Coturnix japonica: one gene and its partners. The protein of the gene in region 3 interacts with the protein of the main gene of each other region in a pairwise test. Links are inferred from orthologs where the notes say so. Each region holds a gene or a part of one and is shown on either strand. Other genes may lie near its edges.

Region 1 (3,516 bases), on a different chromosome or scaffold from region 3:
TGCCTGGTGAGATCCCAGGCACTTCAGATCAAAGCTGACTGAGCCACTTGTTTGTTCATGTGCTACCCATGGCAGACAGAAACATCTCTTTCATATGCAGAAGTACATACACCAAAAGGTATGCAGCCAGGACACTGTGTAAGAACTGAGCATGGATCATCTAGAAGTGGTTTTTCTCATGATTTCTCTGAAGTGCTTTCCTCATAAAAAGGAATAATTGTGGTTCTGCCATCTTCAAGAACAGCAGTATTACTGCCAAATAGGCAGACACAGGAGAGCATTGCTACAAAGTAATCAAATGTTATATCAGGATATAGAAAAGGTGCTAAAAGTAACAAAAAGCAGCAACAAGAACTCTTATTGCACAAAGCACAGCTTTCTTTAGTATCCCAGGAAGGCATTTAAAGGCTTGGAAGGCTTTGATGTCTGTTTGGATAATATGAATATTCTCTTTTAGCTCAATGCAAACTGGCCCAAAATCCAATGTTCTGTCAGTATTTCTGAAGCTTGTATGTTGCAGTGATGTTAGTAGATAAAAAATCACCTTTATCCTCGCATACTCCAACATCCCTACAATTTTAACAGCATTTCAAAATAATTATAACCAATTTGGTGCCACTATTTCCTTGTACTATGTAACCTCAACCAAGATGAAGCCGTACCAACTTCCTTGTGAGAACGTTCTCTCCTTAAGTCTCAGAAGATGCATTTGTTTTTCACAGGCTCACACAACACTCTCGCCCACAACAGAAGTAAAAGTTTTCCTTACTTTTGAACCAAGATCAAACTTGAATTTGCTGCTGTCTTCCTCAATGATGTCTGTGTGCTCCATTCCCCCCGTATTCATTGCGCTGTAAAGCACAGAGGTGACTTTCAGCAGTTCTCTCACCGCGTAGCCATCTGCCTGGTAAAGCTTCTTGGTGTTGAGCTTTATGTGGGCCTTGGTAGCCTTTGCAAAGAAAGAAACCATCATGCCACAAAAAACAACAAAATCTCCATCCACCCCTTCTTACTTCACTCAGAAGCTCACACTGGAGGCGCTGCTGTCTGCTTTAAACAGATAAAACTTCCTGTTTGGAAAGAGATTTGCTTAACCACATTGCTGTCATTTCTAAAGAAACCTTCCTGAGATGCGTGTACTTTCTGTATGTCAGAACATTTGCAGATAATTGCCAGAATGAAAAAACTCAAACTATTCATTAATTCTTCCCCATGTGAAGATCAGCAAAACCCCTGTGCACCACTTAAATTCAAATTAAGTTTAAGTGGAATGTAAGTGCTGCCCAGGTCTTGTGATGATGCTGCAGAGAAGTAAATTTCACCCTTAATGAGTTACAAGAATAAGATCAATTATCCTAATTTATCTGCCTTCTCCTCCAGCAGTAGCTTCAGAGTATTTTATTGTTTCTCAAATTATTCCCTGTTATAATATTACTGACTTCATCCTCTTGCCTTCCATCTCTGAAAGGAAAAAACACATTAGAAATTACAATATCTTCTTTTTATACTTCAAAATAGCAAAGGAGAAAAGCAAGCATCATCAAAACCACACATTTGTCACAGAATGGACATGAGTGTAGTTCTCGCATCCCCTGCCAGGTGGCTGAACCTAGTTCATGCAAACCACAGAGCTGAAAGGAGGCCCTGGAGCCTCCAGAACAGGTTATGGATGTTGTACACTCTGATCAGGGCCACTATGAGACTTGCAGTACAAAAACCCTTAATCGCTTTTGAAAATGTTGTCTGCCACGACCTCAGCTGAACCAACATTCAAGATGGAAAGCCAAACACGTCCTCTTTCCCTCTCTTTCAGTAAGAAAGGAACTAAAAAAAAACCTGAATCATGGAAACAGCAGGAATAAAATTTCAAGAGAAGTATGTCATTAAATGTTAAACATCCACTACACAAAGAAAACCAACACAACACACCACGAAGGATGTGGTTAAAGGCAGGAATTCCAATTGCAGCTCCATTCACCCTCAAGAGAGAAAAATCAATGCCAGGCAAAAAGAAAAAAAAATGTATTTCACTCAAAGACAATTTAGGAAAAAAAGAGGCAAAAGCCACATACAACTACACGTGTTTCCCAGATTGGCATAATGGCGCTGCTTGTTCAGGCTGGTAACCTCACATCTGGAAAGCCTGAGGTGCAGCCACCTACCTTACAGCAACTCTAAGTGGTGGTAAAAGATTTGCTCTGAGAAAAGTATGCCTGAATTGAATAAGTGAGAAGGCACGCAAAGCAGAATGCTGAAGTATGATTCAATATCATAATGAAAACATCCATCAGAGTTTATAACCACTGAAGCATACAACTAAATCTGGCATCCAAAGTCATCTGTAAATAAGCAAGAATCTCCTCTGCATCTATTTTAAATAGATTCACTATATCTTTCACTCTCATCTTTTCCTTCCACTCAAAGTATAAAGTGATAAAGATGAATACTGTTTTAGCATTAGATGTGTAGTTCCCAATTTTATAAAGCCAGATGCAACAGCACAAGATCTCAGTAAGAACACAGCCTGCTCTGTGCAAGCTTAGGGTCACTACTACAGCAGGACCCCACAGGGCCTTGTTTTGGAGCCATGCAAATACAAACCTAAGAGAGCACCAAGCCCCAAACAGCCTTTGAATCAAGTAGGAATATTCCTACTCTACCTACTCCTACGACTTAAATGAAACCACACACGGGATTAGGGATGGAGTTTTATCACCTCTATCACTGCAATAACTGAAGCTTTACTATTAGTAAGTTCTAAAATAAAGTTCCCTCTCCCTTCCTTTTCATCTTCTTATTATTTTTTTCTTTTTCTTTTTAATCCTGAGCAGAATACGTTGGTCAGTTTTACAACCTGAACGCAATTACTTTGGAGAGAAAACAATGCTGCCTGCAGTGTGACATACATCACAAGAATACAATACAGCTCAGCCACCCCTCACAAGGAAACTATGAGGGATTAAGAGGGAAATCATTCAAGCTAACATGGAACAAGCATTTCAGTGTGAAATAAGCAGACGTACCATGAACTGAGCCACAGCCTTAATGAAGAAAACCCGGTCCTGTTCCGTCTCAACATCAGAGGGAATGTCAGACTGAGGCTCATACCTGTGGAAGCACACATAGATTTGGATGAGAAATACACGTGCAGGGTTAAGGAGACACTTCACTTGAGAGGCAAAGTCAGAAAGAAATGGAAAAAAAACCAACACGTATGAGACTGGAAAACAGCTCTTCAGCTCCTAGTGCAGCTGGGACTGCCAAGGCCCCACAGTGCCACACTGGGGCTGTGCCCAAAATGCAAAAGCTGTAAAGTCTGAGATGTTTCTCCAGAAGGAATTGGTCCTTTGGAGCACCACATACATTTTCAATCAGGGTTTTTTGATCAGGATCAAAACGGAGTTGGCAAAATCAAGTCCATGAAACACTTAATAACTTCCTACTTAAATCACAAAGAGCTTACAGAACCCAAACTTAACTCCAATCTCTTTCAAATCATGTTTGCAACTAAAAGCA
Region 2 (3,516 bases), on a different chromosome or scaffold from region 3:
AGTCAGCTAATGCGTTTTTTATACTCCTGAGGTTTGGGTTTTGATAACCGTTCTCTGTTTTTGGTATTTTATTTTAAATGGTGCATGTTCAGCCATGTTAAACGAGCAGCTGCAGGGCTTCACTCGTTTCCTCCTTTCTGCGTTGAACGGTAAATCTCATACAACTGTACCTTCAAATTCATTGAGTAAAGCCTGGGAAACATATGTATGCATTTACTGTAATACGAAATAAAAACTGCTTTTTATAGCAGCCAATTACTGTGTTGAGACAGTACATTGCCAGTAGGAAAGAATGGGAGAAATTGGGAGGAGGTGTCCCTGCCTGTAGCAGAGGGTTGGAACTAGATGATCTTAAAGGTCTTCCAACCCAAACCAATGGAACATCTGAGGTGTTTCTGTCGGCTGCAGTATTCTATCAGAAACTGTCTGGGCCACGTGTAACAGCAACCTTAGAAGAGTTCCTGTAGTTACTTTTTCAACTCAATAGTGTTTGACACTGCGTCTGTGTTTGTACCTCACAACAGCTATGGCTAATTGAAGGTGTGTAGATGACAGGTGCAGATGTATAAGCAATTATTTCTCGTATTTGAAACATATTCTCTCTTTGTTTTAGACAGTAAGATGCCCCATCCTGAGTTCTTAGCCATGAAGCAAGAAGCAATGGGAAAAAATGGTTCCTGCAATTCTGTACGCCAACAAAACATTCAAGGTAATGTATTTCTGGTAATACAGAAATGGATCAAGATGTAGATCGAGAGGCATCTTTCTACCAGGCTTGGCTGTATTAAGATACTGTGCTGTCTGTTGTGAGGAGAGCAGGGAAAATGTCTATTTATTGTTTCTAAAAGTGAAAAGAGCACATCAGCACTTAGTGTTCAACACGTTATTTCCAGTTCAGAATTGTATCACATGATTTTAATGTCCAGACTGGAACATGGATGTCAAGGCACCAGGATGACTGTGTTTTAATAATCACTTGGATTGAGATGGCTTGCTTATAAAGGGACTGTAGTTGAGATCTCTCTAAATATACCTTGATTCACATTTAAATTGTGTTCTGTGAGGTTTTACGAAGCGATGCATTTCAGATATTATTTTCTTCCTGTATTCTGTCTCGTAAGAGAAAGGAAAATTGATGATGGGGAAAAAATGATTTTTGAGGTTGAGATCACTATTGGTGAGGTAAATCTATTGAAATACTTTGCTGTTGTTGCAGGGGATGGAAAAGCCACTTCAAAGACAATCTCTCCAGGTTCTGCCTTACTGAGCGCCCTGCTGAAGCAGCCCCTTGTCTCTGGGTCCCTGCTGGGACTTTGCCATCTTCTCAGCAGCAACGCTGAGGCTCTGCCAGGAGCTGTGCTGCAGCCCGACCTTGTGGAGACGTAAGGACTGTGTTGAAATGCAACTGATGTGTTCCCAGTATTGTGGCATACTCTGAGAAAGGCGTTCTGTGCAGGACACCTCACTGCGTGTGTTCAGTGCCTTTTGGCTGAGGCCATTTGAGGCAAAACTCGGAACATCCTTCTGCATTTTGGTCATCCATCTTTGGTTATTGTAGGTACTGAACACAGGAGAAACACTAAAATGGAAAGCAGGTTAATTACGTATTAGGGGAAGGCACAGAAATTAGGAAAACTTAGAAGTGACTATGAACTGCTGCCCTTTTTAAGGATATATTTGTGTATATATATAACCTAAATTCTAAATGAGTGCTGTCCTTAAATATGAAATCAGATATAAAATTAACTGTTTGAATGTGGCCTCAAAGATCATGTTTGTTCATCAGATCCTTGTTGTTATTTGTTTGATGTCTGCTTTGTAGAGAGTCCTCTGCTTTGTATTTAACATTTCCTTAGGCTTGTAGGCTGACTAACAGTTGCTGAATTCAGTAGGATAGTTTAGAGAGAAATTAGTTGCTCATGGAACCCAGGTTATACACTGTATTTTAAGTGAGGGTGAACACCATGGTAACTTAGAACTATTTTCCTGCACCTGTTGGCTTAGGGGAACTTCTAATAAAGGTTAACTACACTTTCAACTATATTCTCTACCTTTTCTTTCACTGAGGTATTTTCCTCCTTTTGTTTGGGTAGGCAGTCCACGCAGATGCCTGGCACCAGGACAGCTCAGGAAGAAGTTGCTCCTCCCGTGTCCCTGCAGGAAGCTCAGAAACTTGCACTAACAGGACTGAACTTAATCGCTATGGATGAAGAGCCATATGAAGGGAGCCCAGCAGGAAGTGGGAGTGAGGTTTTGTATTTGAAACGCTGCAAGATCCGAGGAGCTGTGCATCTCTTGCCCTTGGTGGAACACCACATCGGTGCATACTGTCAAGCGGTACAATCAGCAGACAAGTCAGTAAATGCTTCTTGTGGAAACCACTCAGTTGTTTCTTCCAGAACCAGCCCAAGTAATGTATCGAGGAAGGAGGACTTCAGGTTGTCTCTTGAAGAAACAACAGTTCTGTCACTAGGTATTCTTTATTATTTGGCATTTTATAGCTGGGACGTTGTCCACATATTGCTGTCTAACGAGGTGGAAAAAAGTTCTGCTGTTGGAGAAGAACAGATTTCCAAGGCGGACAAAAAAGCACCGTGTGATAATAAAGAAGATGACAGGACACAAGGAGGGCTGCCTGACGCTCCACAAGATGCTGCTAGTGACGTTCAAGCACAACATTCTTTGTTCAAAAAGCTGCTTCAGGTTTTAGCTTTCTCTGCCACAGGGGGCTCCCAGACGGGCAGCATCCTGCAGCAAAGCCTGAAAGTTCTGGTAAAGCTAGCTGAAAACTCAACGATGGACTTGCTACTAAAGTAAGTCAGTAATAGCTTTACAGTGACTTCAGGCTCTTAGTTGTGTAGCAGTTTTCACTGTTGAAAATAATTTGTGCAGGTGGCAGTAGAAGGTGTGATACCTATGGGAGAATGTCGTGTTTCTCAGCTCACCTTTGGGATGCAGTGAAGGATCTCACCACTGCCTTGGCTGCTAATGAATGTGATAATTACCCCAGCTCAATAGTAAGATCTGCTTATCATGCACTTACGTGAAGCAGATGCTGCTGGCTCCTTGCTTGGCTGTCATTTGGAAGTGAGAAAGCTTCTTCAGTCACGTGGTTGATTGGTTTTTGTTATTTGAATTGCTGGGAGATGCATAAGGAATGAAAGCACAAGGCTTCCTGGTTTACTTACTTATTCTATTTCTAATGTATGTTATAATGTTTATAATTCTCATATTCTATTTATAAGTACATGATATATAAAGTTTGTTTATTCTTCTGTATGAAATGCCACTCCTGAAAGTGTGATCTTTGCTCACTAGCAACTAATGCACGGGACCGACGTATGAACTGTGCAGGCTGCCTGCAAAACATAACAGTGGGTATTTTTCAGCGTACTTTATTTCTGGTGTGTAAGCGGAGCTTGTGTTTCGAATGGCTTGACAAGATGTGTGTTATGAAGCAGTGAATTACTTTCAGTTGCTTCTCATTTCTAACTGGGGTTTCTCTTTGGAAGTTTT
Region 3 (4,131 bases):
TTTCTACCTTCTATCCATACAGCCAACTAAACACCAACAACACCTACAGCTGAAGTCTCCTGCTTGCTCCCCTATCCACACTGCTTTGCTGGTTATGCAATTTTAATGCCTCCTGCTTGACTGTTATTCCTAACTGAAACCCAAACTTGGTGCAGAGTCCCCCCCACACAAAACTTCCTCTAACATAAACTGCCATAAACTCCCCAGTTACTGCTTCATGAGCTCCGTGTTTGTTTCTTTAACTCCTCTTTTCAGCTGATATCAGTCCCTCACCATACTAAGATGCTCTGGCACTTTGTGTAAACGCAATCATTTTCCTGCACGGTCTTCAATTTCTAATTACACTCACACATCACATATAGTCTTCTATTTATCATTAGGACCCTATTTAATCTTTGTTAACCAAAGGCGAGCAGAGGGCTGTCCCTGCAGACAGGTGTCAGCAGCCACTTGGAACAAGCACTAAGGATTGCAGGCAACACCTGATGCTGCCCATGGAACACCAGATCAGAGTCCTCCCTTTACAACTCGCAGACAGCACTTAGGAATCGTGTTAAATGAAGTATTTGGAAAGCAGAGCTGTTGCTGCAGAGCTGAACTCCTTGCAGAGGGCTCAGCACAGGGACGGCCAATGTGGGGGATAATCCTGTGCTCAGACAGACGCTCCGTTGGCTCCAGCTCCAGCGTATGTCACAGACTCAGCACAAGAGGCCAAAGCTGTCGCTGCTTTTCTTACCCAGGCATCCTCCCTGCACAGCTCTGTTGTTCAGCTCTTCCATGGGAATAAATCCTTACGTTCAGGCCCTTTGGAGAGGGACAAATTCTGACCTCGGCCACATCCTGCCAGCTACAAACGCTTTTTATTTCCCAACTCTTCTCACGTTTTCAGGTAGTTACCCCCAAATTAACGCACGAGCGGCTCCGAGCTACCCACGAAACGCTGCATTTTGGGCGTCTTTTCACAAAGCAGAGGGTAAAAACAAACAAACAAGAAAGAATTCCGACAGGGACTGCGGAAAGGCCGACCCAGGCTGCAGCCCACACACACACAGGTGCGAACTTTCACCTCCGAGCCCCGAGTTCCCTCAGCCCGGCATAGCGCCCACCGCATCCTCCTCCCCTGGAAACCAGCTTCCATCCGGCGCTCCTCCGCGTTCCTCCCCACAAGCAGCAGCAGGAGGCGGAGAAGCTTTCCCGGCCGCACCATCGCTGTCGGCCGCTCCACCGCGGCTACAGACCGCCGAGGACGGAGGCTGCACGGAGACGCGGCAGCTCTTACCGCGTCAAGAGCCGAGGGCGGTCATGGCTGCCGACGGACGGGAGAGAGAGGACGCAACAACACCCGGACCCCCACGCACCGGCGGCTGCCCCGCTGCCTCAGCGGCTCGGCGGGGCCGGGCCTGGGCGGGGCCGGACGTGAGCGCACTTCCGCGGGCGCCGCTATGGCGGGTGAGTGAGGAGCGGGCCGGTGCTGTAGGCAACGCCTGCATGGAGCCGGAGCGGGATGGCCGAGCCTTTATCTCAGCCACAATGACTTGTTTCTCTATGTTTTCACTGAACTTGCTGTTTTTGTCGTACATAGCAGGAAGTCTTGCTGATGGTACTCCGAGAAGACCTGTCCTATCTGCCAGTGCAAGAAAAATTAAAGATAATGCAGCAGACTGGCATAACTTGATGATGAAATGGGAGAGACTGAATGATAATGGGTTTACTACTGCAAACAAAATAGTCAACATGAAGATCAGTGAGCAGTAAGTACGCTAATAACATATACAAGTGAAGACAGCATGAGGATTGCCTTTCTGAGGAATTACTCTGTTCTCTTCACAATAACGATTTTTTGGAGTTTTATGTGGACAGAAGAAGCTATAGCAGTGATGATTTGGGAAAAAAAAAACAAAAACAACAAAACAAACCCAAAACAATAAAATAATTGTGGTAGAATAGTGTTATCATGCTGTGAAGAAAAACCTTACAACAGGCAGGGTTTTGAGAAGTAGCTTCTGAAGAGTCTGTCAGGTGAACAGAGTTTGTTTGACAGTTCTATCACATAAGGCTCGGGAATATTTTGCTGTGGAGGTGTCAGATGTTGCTTTCTCTCTCTAGCACCTCCCTCTTCTCTGTCAATGTTTACAGGAATGAAAGGCAAGAAGTGGGAGAATCAGCAAGACAAGACACATGCCTGCTCAGTAGCTGCTCTGGTTCATAGTTAAATCTTAGATCAAACTGACAGTGAAAGTGGCTGTGGGGAGGCATCAGGCCTGGCTGGGCCGGTTGAAGCCTGGCATACATTCCCCCTTGTCAGGGACAACGTAAAGTGGGAAAAGGTTTTATCTTAACGTTTGTGAGTGTTTTGGGTTTTTTATGAGCACAGACTGTAACATAGAGACACCCCACGTTCTTCTGAAGGTTACCAGCCTTTATTGCTGATATGGTTAGCTGCGTTCCTTTCTGGTTTTATGTAGGAATTCTCATGAGCAGCCTCTGAGAGATTCTGTGGGATCAGATCACACGGACTTTAAGTCTGCACAGCTTGAGTAAACCTGTATGCCTGCCTTATGTTTCTGTTTTAGATTTCAAGATAACAAACTGGAGATAACCTGTGATAACAGTACCACAGAATCTGAAAAGCCGTCTCCAAAGTACAACAAAGAACTGGACAATTGCTGCACAGAATTACTGGAGACCTTAAAAAAAATGGTAACATTCCTTTTTCAGTCCTAGAAGCAATATCAAGAGTTTTCAAGTACAACATAAGAACATGATGTTAAGGATCTGTTGCAAGCTTAAAATCAGGGATGTTCATTCATACTTCATTGCCTTTAGACCTTTATGATGTAAATCCAGCATGCTCCATTTGTTTGCTTTCTTGATAGGTTTGAAAGCTGTTTATATATATCTAGCTTCTGCTCATAATTCTACTCTCCACTTCTAATGTTACTTATAATGTGATCCTCTGAAAACAAGTCATATAATAATCCATTCTAAAAACGCACTCACTGATGTTTGTTTTCTTATCCCAAATATCCCCTGTTTAGAACAAAGTAAACACCAACTTAAAGTACAGTAATGCTTTATCTGCCATGATATCCATTGCAGCTTTGCTCAGCCCTCATGCAATTACACTTCCAGTCTGCCTACTTCTACTTTCTGTGCAGAGCTCATACTTTCTATGAGGAGCAGAGAAAGATAATTATTCTGCCCACTTTTCTGGATAAATTGTCAGGAATTAATGTCACATTTCAGCGACATTAGACTTTTACAGCCTTTAGCTGTTTCGGAGGATCATTAAAAAGATAATAGATAGGATTTTATACAGACAGGCTACCAGACCAGTATTTAGAATAAGCAGGAGCACTTAGATTTTCCTCAGATTGTGTTCTGTGGGAAAAAGCAAGAGTTATTTGGGTGCTTCCCTTTTTATGCAAAATCAGAATCAGTAATTATCTGCAGCACCTGAAATTTTAGGGTAAATCATTAATTCTCTATATAAGTTCCAGTTTTGAGTCCTATCTGGAGTTAAAAAAAAAAGTGAATTAGAAATGCTAAGACTAACTAAAGTCTTCAGAAAGTGTTTAAAAAATGCTGAAGACTATCATGGCTTAACATTCCCGAGGTACTCATTAGCTTTATGTGTTCATTGTTTCCAGACAAAAATACAGCTGAAAATGGAAAAGCTCTCTTCAACTACCAAAGGAGTCTGTGACTTGGAAGAGTACCACCATGGAGCTGGGGGTTGTACAGCACCCCTGTTTCACTCATGGCCCACAGTGTACTTCTGTAAGTAAATTATTGATCATTTTAGATAAATGCACTTTGTCGTTGAAGTCATCCAACTTAGGACTTTCATATCTGTTTTATATCTGTTTATCCTCCCTTAGGAAGAGAAAGTGTGTGAATCAGTCTTCTTTATAACTGACTGATCAATAAACACACGGGTGCATTACTTGGTTTAGGATTACTGCTGATGACTGCTTGTATGAATTGACAAGCATTGTCTGGCATGCAACAGCCAGACAGTAGCTTAGAACCGAGCTTGTCAGCAGTTTCCAATGCCCAAGCTGCAACAGCCACATCTTTTGTAGAGACAGACAATTTTGCAGTTTGGTAATGTTAAGCTGTTGGCTACAG
Region 4 (3,516 bases), on a different chromosome or scaffold from region 3:
GCAGCAGTGCAAGTGTCTATTTAACAACTGTCAAACAGAGGACAGGATCAGAGAAGAAACAATCAAGGACCTCAGGAAGCCTGCAGGGTTTCACATAAACACTTGCTGACTGGAAGCAAGCAAGATAACAAGAAGAGAGGGAGAAATAGGAAGAGAAAAAAAAGAAAGGGGAAAAAAAACCAGAACAAAAAACATTTAAAAAAAAAAAAAAGGACCAAACATTAAAACTATGATATCATCCATGTAGAGAGCACGAGAACTATGAAGTAAAAATCTCAGTATGCAGGCAATCACTTGAGCTCCAACGCTGATACTTTTGCTTTGATGTTTGGGACAGAGGGAGCTCTGATCAAGTTCAGGCAGCAGCACAAAGAGCATCAGTCAACAAGCAATACAGGAGGTTTTGTTCAACTAGGATTACACAGGGAACTTAAATAGAAGGCAGCCCAAAATCTGGGTAATTCCAGTTACACAAAATAATTGGGATTTTTTTTTCCTTTGATTGAGATGCCTAGAAAGAGTAAAGAGCTAGAACCACTACCTGCTCACTTGTATTGTATGATGTTCTTCTCTAACGCAGACTCAAAGAGAATGTGAAGACTGATTCACCAGCCACAAGAACGAAAATGACTTGAAACATCCAGATCCAATTATGGATCACGTTGTTCCTTCATCTTACAGCAACCAGTGACTTGTTTTAAAAAAAAAAAACAACGAAGGGTACCAAATGCTAAAAGCAATTCAAAAAGAGCCTCTTCCCATCAGGATCTTCTCTTTCAAGCTGAACTGAAGCTCACCACAGCACTATGTCAAATAAAATGACTTGATACGTGCATATAACAGACATGAAATAAATACAAATTTGCAAAGCAGCTCAGTACTTCTGGCATTACAACCTATAGCTCGTAAAATTCAGGATCTCTGAGGGCTTAAAATGCGCAACAAAGTACCAAGAGGAAAAACAATCATCAGGGTCCTTCTTTCCCCAGTAGATATAATACATAGCCAGAAAAGGTGTTAAGCAATTAGGCTTTATTGCTTTAGATCAGAAGCCACTGAGATGAGAACTCGAAGTAGGATGGGCTAGAACAGCAGGCACTGTTTGAACCTGGGTAAGGAAGCATGATTTGAGAAAGCATGGAGGAAGGTAGTGAATGAATGGTCAGACGAAGGCGAAAGGTCTCCTAACAGTTTAAGACACCTATGATGGCCATGTAGACAAGATGAACTCTTTGCAGGGAGGCCAATGAGGATGATGTTACAATATTCAAAATGCAAGGTAAGTATCTGAAGAGACAGTTCTATCTTTCTCTTATGGTGGAAAAAAATAAATAGGAAAACAGCATTAACTACCATTTACCAGCTAGGAGAAGGTTGAGAACAATGCTAAAAACAAGCAAAAAGAAAACCCGTGTCAGATGTCAGCTGAATGTATCTACTATACGTTCATGATCACTTGAGCCTGAGCTGTACACTGTAGAAGTATCTCCACTATTAAAACAGTTTATTCCACCATCAGACAATTATTATCATTAAACAAACTGTGTGTCTTCAGTTCTCTCCTTTAATACTATTCTACTGACTAAACCCACATAAATACAAAGTAATAAGTAATAAATACAAAATCCTAATATCCTCCTGAACAGCACTGAGAAACATGTTTTATACAACGCCTTAATTCCTCTTTACTACTTCCATGAATAGGTCATTCCCCGGCATACTTGTTCTACACAGCGAGGCTGAGTAGAAACTGTATTTTCACTGAAAAGAAAAAGACACCACCAGAAAAAAATAACCCACCAAGAAAACCCACTTAGCAAACAGAAACAGCAGTGACAATCGCCAACACATTTCTAAACAGGTGACAATCATCAACATCATCTCAACAACATGATATTCAGTGTAAAATTTCTCCTCCCGTTTCCACAAAGTCCAAATACAGTTTCTGTGAAAGACGTGAATTACGTGAGTCTCAGGAAGCATTAATTTGAGTGTTGTCATTAACAATCCTATTAGTCATTATTTTCGTACACTGAATGTAGGAGAGATCATCAAGCTCAAGAAGTGCTAATGAACAGGACTAAAGAAGCAAGTGGAAGAAAGGAAATGGAGACTGACATATGGAGACTGACATATGGAGAGTGAAGACAGGAGAAGAGCAGAACAGAAAAGGAGTGTGTGAAACACTGAAAAAGGAACTAGCTCAAGGAAACCTTTGGACTTATCTCCCAGATGGATTAGTATGCTGCCTTTGCTGAAGCTTACTAACTGCCCTCTTAATTTTAGACATAAGATCAGAATATCGCTTGCACGATTAATCAAATTGCTGAACACCACCACTACTTACGACAGGACTCGCCGTTCGGGCCCAAACTCTGCTTCATAGTAGCCATCTCTGCAGTCTTTTCCGACTAGATCATGAGGGTGTGGCTTGTAGGGTTCATTCTTCGTTACCAATGTAGTTCTAATTTTGACTTTTCCAAAATAGTTCAGAATCTACAAGAATAAGAGAGATTTTCTCAACTTCAGATATCAGGACTAGCAAAGTCCAAGCACATAACAGAAAATACATTTAATCCTAAAATACTGTACGGAAGAAACACCACAAGTAAGGAATTGTAATATTGCCTCATAAAAGAAAAGCCAAGACCATTTCAGTTCTTCATTGGAAATTAAAACAGCTTGTAATGTTGTAAGACCAAAAGAGGACGTATTTCACACCAAGTGTTACAACGTGAGATGCAAAATTCTACCTAGGCAACTGTACACAAATGTTTATTTAAAGAGCGTTCCAGCTCCAAAGATGTTTAGGAAAAAGCTCCTAGAACCTCAGGGATAATCCCTGTGAATGGAACACAAAGGAGGCAGTGAGGATCTCATAAAATACAGCATGACATAAGCCCCTGCCAAGCCTTTCTCTTTAATCTGAAGATGAGTACCCAGTTTCACATTCAGTAAGAGGGGCACTGCGTTCTCCAGCCCCACTAGCGCCTTCAAAGAAGTCAGGCTCTGTGCACATCTCTCAGGCACTCAAGTCTTCCTTCATACTGACAACTATCAGTGAAGCCAGCAAGGTTTGAGTGGGAGTCTAAAAAACAGTTTGACCTAAGATGTTTGAAGTATAACAACTTGAAAACGCTTGCAAGGCTTGCACCAGCACAGGTTGTACAAAGGTGTGGTCTCCACCTCCACTTCCTTCATCCTGTAACTGTTCTTCTTCCTTCAGCCCTTTCTTACCTCTTCCAAGATACTCCATGGATCCATCACACGCTTCTCAATCAGCACCTCAACCTTTCACTTGACTTATGCTCTAACTTCCATCATCTCTCAGTTTCTTCAGTTTCCAATCCAGCTGTCAGTATTCATACACACTACTTACCCTTAAATAAAACTCCAACCGCTCTTTCAGCTTCTTAAATACTGCATTATTTCTCCCTCATTATATACCTAGCCCCTTAAATGTGAAGACCCCTAGCAGCAAATCAACACCAAAGCCTCGTACAGGCTCCAGGGAGG

Evidence for each region.
Region 1: the proteins of CINP (region 3) and CLUAP1 interact in binary tests that used the Homo sapiens proteins (3 or more experiments, as listed by UniProt). The two-hybrid records come from large-scale screens. The link is inferred for Coturnix japonica from reciprocal best matches to the Homo sapiens genes CINP and CLUAP1.
Region 2: the proteins of CINP (region 3) and ATRIP interact in binary tests that used the Homo sapiens proteins (3 or more experiments, as listed by UniProt). The link is inferred for Coturnix japonica from reciprocal best matches to the Homo sapiens genes CINP and ATRIP.
Region 4: the proteins of CINP (region 3) and REL interact in binary tests that used the Homo sapiens proteins (3 or more experiments, as listed by UniProt). The two-hybrid records come from large-scale screens. The link is inferred for Coturnix japonica from reciprocal best matches to the Homo sapiens genes CINP and REL.

Annotation. Positions count from the first base shown.
Region 1 is NC_029529.1:11,274,207-11,277,722, forward strand, and holds part of CLUAP1 (clusterin-associated protein 1), read right to left. Parts: intron 3,109-3,516; coding exon 3,024-3,108; intron 950-3,023; coding exon 770-949; intron 1-769. UniProt on the Homo sapiens protein: Required for cilia biogenesis. Appears to function within the multiple intraflagellar transport complex B (IFT-B). Key regulator of hedgehog signaling.
Region 2 is NC_029527.1:2,064,607-2,068,122, reverse strand, and holds part of ATRIP (ATR-interacting protein), read left to right. Parts: intron 1-613; coding exon 614-709; intron 710-1,216; coding exon 1,217-1,382; intron 1,383-2,093; coding exon 2,094-2,813; intron 2,814-3,512; coding exon 3,513-3,516. UniProt on the Homo sapiens protein: Required for checkpoint signaling after DNA damage. Required for ATR expression, possibly by stabilizing the protein.
Region 3 is NC_029520.1:45,118,943-45,123,073, reverse strand, and holds the start of CINP (cyclin-dependent kinase 2-interacting protein), read left to right. Parts: upstream 1-1,324; 5' UTR 1,325-1,442; coding exon 1,443-1,449; intron 1,450-1,582; coding exon 1,583-1,751; intron 1,752-2,573; coding exon 2,574-2,700; intron 2,701-3,650; coding exon 3,651-3,780; intron 3,781-4,131. Other genes in the region: TECPR2 (tectonin beta-propeller repeat-containing protein 2), read right to left, coding at 1,067-1,138. UniProt on the Homo sapiens protein: Component of the DNA replication complex, which interacts with two kinases, CDK2 and CDC7, thereby providing a functional and physical link between CDK2 and CDC7 during firing of the origins of replication.
Region 4 is NC_029518.1:5,501,006-5,504,521, forward strand, and holds part of REL (proto-oncogene c-Rel), read right to left. Parts: intron 2,497-3,516; coding exon 2,348-2,496; intron 1-2,347. UniProt on the Homo sapiens protein: Proto-oncogene that may play a role in differentiation and lymphopoiesis.